Tribolium castaneum: one gene and its partners. The protein of the gene in region 3 purifies or fractionates together with the protein of the main gene of each other region. This does not show direct contact. Links are inferred from orthologs where the notes say so. Each region holds a gene or a part of one and is shown on either strand. Other genes may lie near its edges. The genes, in order: F-BAR domain only protein 2, Rlip and AP-2sigma.

Region 1 (3,760 bases), on a different chromosome or scaffold from region 3:
ACTTATAACGTGCTATTCCTGTTTTACTCTTCAGACCATTTTCCCAAACGGGTCAACGACCATTTAAAAGCCAGTAGTAATCTATGGATAATAATCAATTCAACTAACACCCACTTTTCAAATTATGACCCAAAACGTATCTATACCAACAAAGACCAAACATACCTCACCTACATCCGACACTATCTTACACAAACATAAATACTCTGCCTCCTCTCCTGCTATAAATAACTAAAGCTCTACTATTCTTTACATTAGAACATTCCGAGCTTTTACCAGGTAAGTTGAAAAAATATTTTTCATTTTACCGATTTTTAAGAGACTACTAAGTTATCAAACTTTATTAAATGTCTTTATAAACATTTTTTACGACTGTAATTATAATCATTGGACAACTTATTTCGAAAGCACGATCACCGGTTTTTACATCAAAATTTTATAGTTTAATTATGATGACTCATATTTTGCTGAAATATGGGGTACGTGAATTTTTTATTTTGCCATTCATCAAACTAAAAATAAACGTTGTCAACACAGTAATAAGCTCAAATAACTTATCGAGTTGAATTTTTCTTTAAATAATGGTCCTGATCGAGCATGACATTTATGGCTTTTAGAGTTTTGTCCCCTGTCTAGGCCCCGTTACTTCAATATCGAGCCCACGTTTCCACCTCATTAAAAATTAGTCATCGTTTAAATAAATTTTTGAAGTGTTTGATTTGAAATAAATTGGCGTTTGGCGACCAGCGGGTTGGTGCTATGCAATTTGGGTGCAGTAGTGTATTCTTGGTCGTCTAGATTGGACGGTAACGCCCTCATACGTCACTTCGGCTGTATCAATTCTGTGATGATCCGCCCCCTACGATCTCGTTATCGCAATTAAATACCGTCAAACGGGTGAATGTCGTTAAATGTTGAATGGCAGATTAAGTTAAGGGGTTGATTTTTGTTAATTTCGATTGGGAATTAGTTGTTTATGTTAAATGTTGTTTGTTGTGTGTAATTAGCGTTGTCTGGTTGAGAGGAAGTCGTAAACGAATGACGGTTGTGATTGTTTATATTCGCCGTATACTAATCAGAGTAATGTGCCCTTACTTTTTTGGCTAGTGATAACGCATTTTCAGTCATTTGGCATGGTTATAGTGCAACAATGACCGTCGACTTCAACGATTATTTTTGGGTGAGTGTCTAACCTAACCGAGGAAGTGTATCGACGTCTCCACTTCTAATCTAATTAAGATTGTTATTATCCGATTTTTACGACCTAGGGCGAGAAGAACAATGGGTTCGACGTTCTATACCATAACATGAAATATGGCCTAGTTGCTAGCAAAGATCTTGCCGAATTGCTCAGAGAACGGTAAGAGACGTCCCTGTTGTGAGCAGCAATTTACTAATTTTCGCGTCATCAGATCAAACATTGAAGAGAACAACTCGAAACTACTTGCCAAGTTCGCCAAGCAAGCAGGAAGTTGTTGCAATCAAGGCACTTTTGCCCCATTATGGCAAGTCTTGAAGACCTCGGCGGAGCGTCTTTCGGCGCTCCACATGCAAATGGTGCAAAAAGTGAGCGACTTGGTCAAGGAAGTGAACAAATACGCCGAGGAACTTCACAAAAAACACAAGACTGTCAAGGAGGACGAATCTGGGACTCTGGAGTCGGTCCAGGCCATGCAGAATGTGACTTTAATGGTACAAAAATGCAAAGACACCTACACCCAGCGGGGACAGGAATTAGATAAGCTGCGCAAAGATAACGCCAGTCCGAAGGAGATAGAGAAAGCCGAGTTGAAAATGAAAAAAGCGCAGGAGGAGTACAAATCCTACGTTGAGAAATACACAGTTATCAAAGACGAGTTCGAGAAGAAAATGTCAGTCACTTGTAAGAACTTCCAAGAGCTGGAAGTTGCCCATTTGGGCCATATGAAGGAGTTCTTGAATTCGTACGCAGAGGTCGTAGAGTGGACACACGAACAAATGGGGAAGGTCCACAAGGAGTTCAGACAGCAGTGTCTTGAGCTTACCGTGGATCAGTTGCTCGAACAGTTCGTTCGCAACAAATCCACGGGACTTGAAAGGCCAGGTAAATATTTATCTTGGCAAGGTTGGCGTATTTTATTACCGTAATTTGACACAAACAAAGGCATTGTTATATGACGGGCTTACAATTAATTGGAACAAACAGAAATTTGAGAGTAATTGAAACAAACAAGACAATATTGCGCGTTCGGAAGTGTTAAGTTACCTGCCGGAAAGAGGAAATAAAAAGATTTGCGAGAGAACATAGCATTCCACATTACAGCTCCAATAAAAAATTATGTTTTCAAATACCCATAAAATTTCAAATGAGGTTTTGAAAATTTCAAAATAAATTGTAGTTTTTAGTTTTTTGTTTTGGAAATCTATAATGATTTTTTCATGCTCAACAATAATGAATAATGATCATTACATTTTTTTAAATCAAAAAGGAACTTGATGATGTCACAGTAAATTAGTGTACTCAAATATTACTATTTGTTTAGTACTATTGTGTCGATCTTCAATTATAAACTCCCTTATTTCAAAGAAATACTATTGATTCACTATTGACTTGTGTTTGTACATTTTAAAATTCTGCCCTGTAGCGAACGAAGTCGTATAACCAACGCGTGTAACAACATAATTTTACGTCTGTAAAATACAACTAGCAATTTACATTACATTTAGGGATTGCTCTAATTAGTCATATTGACGATGTTAAATAAATAACTGATTTGTGCAGCAAGAACTATATACGTTGATGTTTAGAGCATTTTTAGAAAAAATACAATTCACTTATGATTTTTATTTTATTTATTTTAAAATATGTGAATAATATTACGTATTCTCACATCTCACAGATCAACAATAAAACTTATATTATTTAATTTTCAATACCTCATTTATTGGCAGTAAGTAGAAGAAACTTAAAATGCACTGACCTTTCTGTCCCATCGCATCATCTTCTTAAACGGACCTACTGAAATAAAATACAATGAAATTAGAACAATGTGTCATTAAATTATAGTTGAAAGTATTACAGGTTTAATGTAATTTTCCTAAAAAGAAGACATTGTAGACTTACCCTTAAATCCGGATCAGAAGTTTCCTCTTGGAAATCCCTTCCAGTAGCACACAATAACTGCGAACAACACGCACTAGCCAACGAATTTGAAACTTTTAAACGACAAAATTTTGATTTGACTTGTCTATTCGCGACAACAGCAAGTAACAAACTGAATAAAACTAAACGGCACAACAATAATTGTGTAAGAATATCGATAAATCGTCACCAACAAAAAATATAATATGTGAAATAATTGATTATTACAAGGAGGGAAACGAAGAGATTTGTATGATTCATTGATTTGTGTTACGACTTCGTTACTTAACGATTTCTTGAGGTACCTACTTGAAAAATATACAGGGAGGTGCATTTTTAAGGCCGGGTCGCTGAAACACATTGCTTGAGCAAATAATTTCGGATAAAACATTTTAGGGAAATTTTTAAGTATTCGCAACTTCGGAATTAATTTCAAAAAAGGCCAGATTTACTGATTCATTGTCGAACCTGTTCCCTTAAAAAGGGCACGATTTATAAAAAAAAATCGTAACAGTTTCGTTATTCATGGCTGCGTATTCAGCCTATTCGGAATCGTATTTGAATATAAACCAAAGATAAAATTCCTGCGGCCTTTACAAGTATGTCGATAATTAATCAAACTTCCCATCAAACTCAGAC
Region 2 (3,760 bases), on a different chromosome or scaffold from region 3:
AAAATGTGACTTATAACAATATAATAAAATGAGCAATGTATACACACTAAACACTAACGAAACTCCTTATCTTATTTATTGACTTTGCCAAACGCCAGCAAACATCACAAGGGACGGTCGTAAAAATCCAACAAATAACAATTAAAAAATTAAACACCTTCAACCACTTCCTATTCTAAAATAATATCGGACATGAAACAGTACGAACTCACTCCCCACTAAAAATAAAAACAACACGCACAAAAACATGTAAAAATACTCGACTTAAGTAGTGCTAGCGCCGCCTGTTGGCTTAGTTCAGGCGCATTGCTAGTTGCATACCGTAACCTTAGGCCCACTCCAATGTCAAGTCTACCTAAATTTAAACCCAGCGTCAATTTGAACATTTATTATATACAGTTACAATAATACTGGACACATTACGACTTGGCTAAAATCTGCGCTCTCAGCTCGATGCACATCTCCTGCTCCTCGATGATCTGGCGGACCAAGTTGATCTTCTTGATTTGCAAAATTTGGTTCTCCTTGAGGAACAGGTCCATGACTTCGTCCAGGTCCTCGTTGGGCACCATCGCCACGGGCGGCACCTCCCCCGTGATCTGCGAGCGCAGCACGGCGATCTGGCCGCGCTCCGCCTGGATGTCCTTCAGGAGCGAGTCTCTGAGCAGCAGCAGCCCCTCGTTCTTGAACTTCAGCAGCGCGACGCTGCCGTCCAGCTCCGACTCCTCCTCGCTGGCCGCCTCCTCGGGCTGCGCCTCGGGCTCGGGGGCTTCCACCTTCTCGACCGCTTCCTTGTCGCGGTTCGCCGTTTTCAGCTTGCGCTTCAGCTGCGTGATGATCCTCTGCACCTCCCAGAGGAGCTCCTCGCGCTGCTTCGAGATGCAGCAGACGTTCATCTCCTTGTGGATCTGGGTGAGGAGCGACTCCTGCTTCTTGAGCTCCGTCTCGATCTCGGGGGGCTCCTCGGGGAGCTTGGCCCCGGACTCGAGAGGGGGCACGTAGCGCGCGATTGTGATTGTGGGGAAGAGCGCGAGGCAGTGGTGGAGCAGGGCGTGGAGGAGGCGCGAGGAGCAGTGGAAGGTGTGGTTGAGGGCTGTGGAAATGGCTTGTTTGTTCATTTTGTTGCATTTTTCCTGCGAAACGCGCTATACTATGGGGGCTGGGGTGTTAAGGCACTCACATTCAGAGAAACGTTGTGTAAATGGGTGATGAGCCAGCCGAGGAGCGTTTTGTTGTGGGGAGGTAAAAGGTCCACTAAAATTTTTAAGTGTTTTTCGCGAGTGTTGAGATTAAGGATGGCTCCGGCTTCCTCGAAACGTATTAAAAGGTCGTTTGTAAAAAGTGGTTCTGGTAAATCTCTGCAAAGAGTTTTTGCCCATCATGTTACACCTAAGAAAAGGTTACCTTAAATAGGTTTTTACTAAACTTGTGACGGTTGGAGGGTCGTAGTCATTTAAATTGATATTGCCCCTCTGATTGTACATTTTACGTATTTGGAGAACTTTTGATTTTGTTCCGCTGATTTTGTATATGCCTTCGAACGACATACCTACGGTTTCTACATAGTCTATACATTCCCGAATGGGTAAAGGAATGTCTACACCGTCATGGCACCGGCTCCTCTCAACAGCCACGTCTAAACTAGCCCCGAAAATCGGTAAAATATCTGGAACGAACAATTCATTCCAATTTTATTGTCATTATGTAAGAGTTCTCACCGCCGATGTCAGCGGTCTCGTCAATTGACTGTTTGAGTTTCTTCGTTTTCTCACTCTTGACTTTCTCCTTGTCCTGCTTCTTGTCATTCTTCTTATCCCGGTCTTTCTTCTTGTCGAGATCTTTCTCTTTTTCGCGGGATTTGTCCCGTTTTTCTTTGGCTTTGGTGGAGAATTTGAACGGTTTGGCTTTTTTTGTTTTCGACGGGCTTCTGAAACATCCCAGTGAGGGTTTGAGTGATTGCAGGTGTGATTACCTCGACTTGAAATTTTCATCAGCTGAACTTTCGCCTTCTAAAGCGGCATAACCTTTGTCTTTATCCTTCTTCTCTTTGCGTTTTCCGATGAGAATGTCCTTTTTCAAGACTTTCTCATTTTCGTCACTATCTAGAAACGAGTTTTAATCGGGAATTAGTGGTTCACTTAATTTATTATTACAGTCGCTGTCGTTATTGCACTGCTTATTTAATTCGGATGCGTACAAGCCTGGGAAATCCTTCATTACGTCGGGGCTATCAAAATCCATATTGACACGGTTGGGTTTGAACTTTTAATAAATAATTATGACACTATTTTCCCAAGGGAATTTGTTGCTAAGCATGTTAAGCTGGGATAAAACAGAAACAACACAAATCAAGTCATCTGAGTGGTGTAATATGACAGGTGCTTGCCCTGCCATCTCTTGAAGGAACTGGTGTTGAGGGCCGCCTTAACCGGGAGATTCGAAATAAAAGACGAGCTAGTTTTGTAATTTTTTTTAATTTTTTTTACGTGTTACAGGAAGACAAATCTTTGACCACACTTCCACAACACACTTTACAAACTAACTTAACTATGTAATAAATTGCAAGGAGTTGAGCAAAAAAAACGTTTAATTATCACAAGATTTATGTGTTTTTTCGTCTCGCCTGCAATCAATTGTCGATTGCACGTGGTTGGTTGCAGGCGAGACGGAAAAGCAGATTTTCAACTATCTTAAAATGATGAATTAGTACTCTAAATACAATATTACGAAAACACATACAAAAGAACTCCTTGCCTGTCCTATGATTTACATTTTCATAAACATACCAAAGGGAAGGTCATTATAAAAATATATCAAGAGTAGTTGACACCTAAAACTGTTAACAATATAAAACAAATGGGATTTAGTCGTATTAATAAAAACAGAGTTTCAAGTAACAACACCTTTGTCTAGTCTTGCCCCTAAACCAGTTGTCAAGGGGTCCTAACACAACTTATAAATATCCTCAAGCTAGATCAAACGAGAGGAGTGAAAGAAAATCCGGCAACGTAACAAAGTAAAAAGTAGTCCCTACTACGGGAGAAGTGAATGAAAATCCGGCAACGTAACAAAGTAAAAAGTAGTCCCTACTACGGGCGGAGTGAAAGAAAATCCGGCAACGTAACAAAGTAAAAAGTAGTCCCTACTACGGGAGGAGTGAAAGAAAATCCGGCAATGTAACAACGTAAAGAGTAGTCCCTACTTTAGATCGAGGCTACGCGCAAAAAAAAAACAATAATATAATAACAAAAGAAACGGTGGTTGTGTCATTAAATGGTATTAGAACAACGAGTTGGCGAGTGGCGTTTATCTATAGTCTTGAAACAACATTACAACTAAATTTTTTTGGGGAAATGCATACCTTAAGTAAATAAGTAAAATTTACCATCGTATGATTGCCATTTTCAATGAAAAGTGCAAACATTCTTAGCTCAACTAAACGTACATTGATTGTATTGTTTTCTAATGAACCAACCTTAAGAAATCTCAGCTAAGCAGTTATACGTGTAGCCCAGCTACATAATGCTTAATATATTGGTACACACTAAAGCGAAAACGAAACAGCCTATTTTTTAGATTTTATATATGAAAGTATTGTGGAGTGAGCCCATATGTATGTACAAAGTATAGCGCAGTCATTACAATACAACTGATTAATGTAACCATCAAACTCACACAAAACTTTATGACTAAATCATTCACGTTATATAATAATAGAACCGATACGGTCTCCACTGACATTTAAAAAATATTGCGTTGC
Region 3 (2,440 bases):
AATCTATTTCAAAATCGTTCGCAACACAAATTGTATTCTTGGTTGCAAGTCGAGGATGAACATAGAGATTTGCATTTTCATATCTTCTGACGAACCACCAACGACTATGTGGGGGTAAAGAAAAAGTAAGCAGGAGAAAGCTCTTGGAAGTATTATTGATGAAGAAAGAAGTTTCTCCAAAAATAAGAGTTTGTTCGCTTCATTTCAGAAAAGATTACCTTCCCAAGAGTAAGTACCTTTACCATAACTGCATGGTAAGTCCAAAGAACTTGGTTAAGATGAGAGTACTCTTGACCACGTTTTTATTTAGTTTAACGAAATGATGTAAGAATTATTTCATGTATTAATTGTTGAATAAGATTCAGCAGCAATTGTAAAAAAGGCGAGACTTAAAAAAACTGCAGTTCCATCACTTAATCTCCCTAACGTGGAGACAAAATTATCAAGCAGAAACAGAAAACGCATGCGAAGTATTCCAGAAGGCATTTTAGATGAAGAAGACGTAACTGTTGCCCGTAACAGTTGAGGCATAATAGAAAATGCCAAATTTCACAAGGTAAAACTTGAAGCTTTTATTAACTTTTATATTTGAACACCAGCATTTATACACTTCTATACTTACAATAAATAAAAATTCGGAATGTATTTATATTGTTCATGTTGGCTCTTCATACATAATTCATAATTAAATCAATAAGAAATTTACACTTCAGATATACACCCAATCTTGCCGATATTTTCTAACTTAAACAACGGTCCTGCATTTAAACATATACACAAAAACAGGAATGGCATAAAATAAGATTCTACAATATGATATCGTTTTTGATAAAATTATTCAAGTGAGTTCAACATTAGCAACTGCTTGAGTACTTTGGTCTGGGACGTCTCCCTGATTTCGCCCGCCAGGAACATCTCGTCAACAACGGTATACACTTTGTAAAAATTAAAAACGAGGTCTAGCTCACAAACATTGTGAAAATATTCATTGAGTACTTCAACAAAGTTATGTATTGCTTCCAAGTAGCACAAGTTATTGTCGTTCACGTCGACGCATATGCAAAAGTAGAGGCCGGCGTATCGACGGTAGACAATCTTGAAGTTGCGGAACTACAAAAAGGCATCATTCAAGCCCCCATTTGGACAACTCACCTCAACAAAATTTGTGTGTTTCGCGTCGCGAACTGTGACCACGGCGTGCACCTCCTCTATCAGTTTCTGCTTCTCGTCGTCGTCGAAGTTCATGTACCATTTAGCTAGACGTGTTTTACCCGCCCGGTTTTGGATTAATATAAAACGAATCTGGGAGTCAAACAATTGGTTAGAATCGATTAAGCTTGTCGAGAACAATTCACAAACGTAGTACAACACCAGTAACTCACCATTTTTTAAATTTCTGATAATAATTCGGCAGGTTTTGTTATTTAATTGAACAAAACCTCCTCCCAACGAGTCAGATAACAATTTTTTGGGGCACTTCTAGGGATTTTAGGTGTCACTGTCAGTCTGACAGTGATAATTGAGGTTAGGAGTGTCCATAAATTAATTTGATTCTTCTTGAATGTATTTTTTTATGTAAACATTTAAGTCTTATCATGTCGCGAAATAGAAGTATGTTGGAAATATTAACTTTCATTCATGACATTGTTGAACTTTAGATTCAAGACATGGTAAATCGAAAATTACAGTTGGCGAAAAGGGGCGCCAAGTGCTGGAAAATATTGACGAGAATAACCGTGTAATTAAGATGTTTCTTGGATTTCGGAAAGAACTGGATGAGAAACACGACCGTTACGAAAAAATTGTAAAACTGAGTCGAGATATTACAATCGAAAACAAGCGTATCATTTTCTTGCTACATTCTACAAACACTGATATGTATGATTGTTGTTGTTTATAATCTGTTTTAATAGTCTAAACAATTGTAGAGAAGGGAAAAGAGAAGCTGTCTTGGATGAAGCTTGCAAAAGACTGAAAGTTATAACAGATGAGAATTTTAAAACTATAGCTTCAATTCTCAAAGATTTTGATTCTTATCAATATCAGAAGGCTTACACAAGTGGCCTACAGGAATTTATTGAAGCCTTGGTTTTTTATCAGTTCCTGCATTCCAATAAAATTGAAAGTTGGGAGTCTATCAATAAATTTTTCCAGTATGAGCAAGATGGTGAAAAATTCAGTCTTTTATTTCCACAGCTTGATTTCATATTAGGAATTGCGGATTTTACGGGAGAATTAATGAGACGTTGCATTAACAATTTGGGAGTAGGAAATGTGAGCGACTGTTTCAAAACTTGTAATTTTGTGAAAGATATCTACACAGGGTTTTTAGGTAAGTTCTAACTCAAAAATTAGGTAGAAAAATTATTTTTCTGGAATCGGCCGTAAAATAGGGGAAATACTCCACAGTATACTTGACTGTAATGTTGGTTGCCTATCT

What was found.
Region 1: the proteins of AP-2sigma (region 3) and F-BAR domain only protein 2 purify together in Homo sapiens (co-immunoprecipitation; 3 studies listed by BioGRID and IntAct, counting the BioPlex papers as one, with this or other methods). This does not show direct contact. The link is inferred for Tribolium castaneum from reciprocal best matches to the Homo sapiens genes AP2S1 and FCHO2.
Region 2: the proteins of AP-2sigma (region 3) and Rlip purify together in Homo sapiens (co-immunoprecipitation; 3 studies listed by BioGRID and IntAct, counting the BioPlex papers as one, with this or other methods). This does not show direct contact. The link is inferred for Tribolium castaneum from reciprocal best matches to the Homo sapiens genes AP2S1 and RALBP1.

What each region holds. Positions count from the first base shown.
Region 1 is NC_087403.1:5,305,349-5,309,108, reverse strand, and holds the start of F-BAR domain only protein 2, read left to right. Parts: upstream 1-830; 5' UTR 831-1,080; exon of another isoform or gene 1,081-1,124; 5' UTR 1,125-1,150; coding exon 1,151-1,180; intron 1,181-1,268; coding exon 1,269-1,360; intron 1,361-1,412; coding exon 1,413-2,083; intron 2,084-3,760. UniProt on the Homo sapiens protein: Functions in an early step of clathrin-mediated endocytosis. Has both a membrane binding/bending activity and the ability to recruit proteins essential to the formation of functional clathrin-coated pits.
Region 2 is NC_087403.1:3,536,417-3,540,176, forward strand, and holds Rlip (ralA-binding protein 1), read right to left. Parts: upstream 2,384-3,760; 5' UTR 2,242-2,383; coding exon 2,154-2,241; intron 2,103-2,153; coding exon 1,973-2,102; intron 1,928-1,972; coding exon 1,719-1,927; intron 1,667-1,718; coding exon 1,405-1,666; intron 1,359-1,404; coding exon 1,181-1,358; intron 1,134-1,180; coding exon 420-1,133; 3' UTR 374-419; downstream 1-373. UniProt on the Homo sapiens protein: Multifunctional protein that functions as a downstream effector of RALA and RALB. As a GTPase-activating protein/GAP can inactivate CDC42 and RAC1 by stimulating their GTPase activity.
Region 3 is NC_087396.1:14,084,653-14,087,092, reverse strand, and holds AP-2sigma (AP-2 complex subunit sigma), read right to left. Parts: upstream 1,520-2,440; 5' UTR 1,386-1,519; coding exon 1,383-1,385; intron 1,303-1,382; coding exon 1,153-1,302; intron 1,111-1,152; coding exon 835-1,110; 3' UTR 642-834; downstream 1-641. Other genes in the region: Trax (translin-associated protein X), read left to right, coding at 1,596-1,611, 1,659-1,878, 1,929-2,332. UniProt on the Homo sapiens protein: Component of the adaptor protein complex 2 (AP-2). Adaptor protein complexes function in protein transport via transport vesicles in different membrane traffic pathways.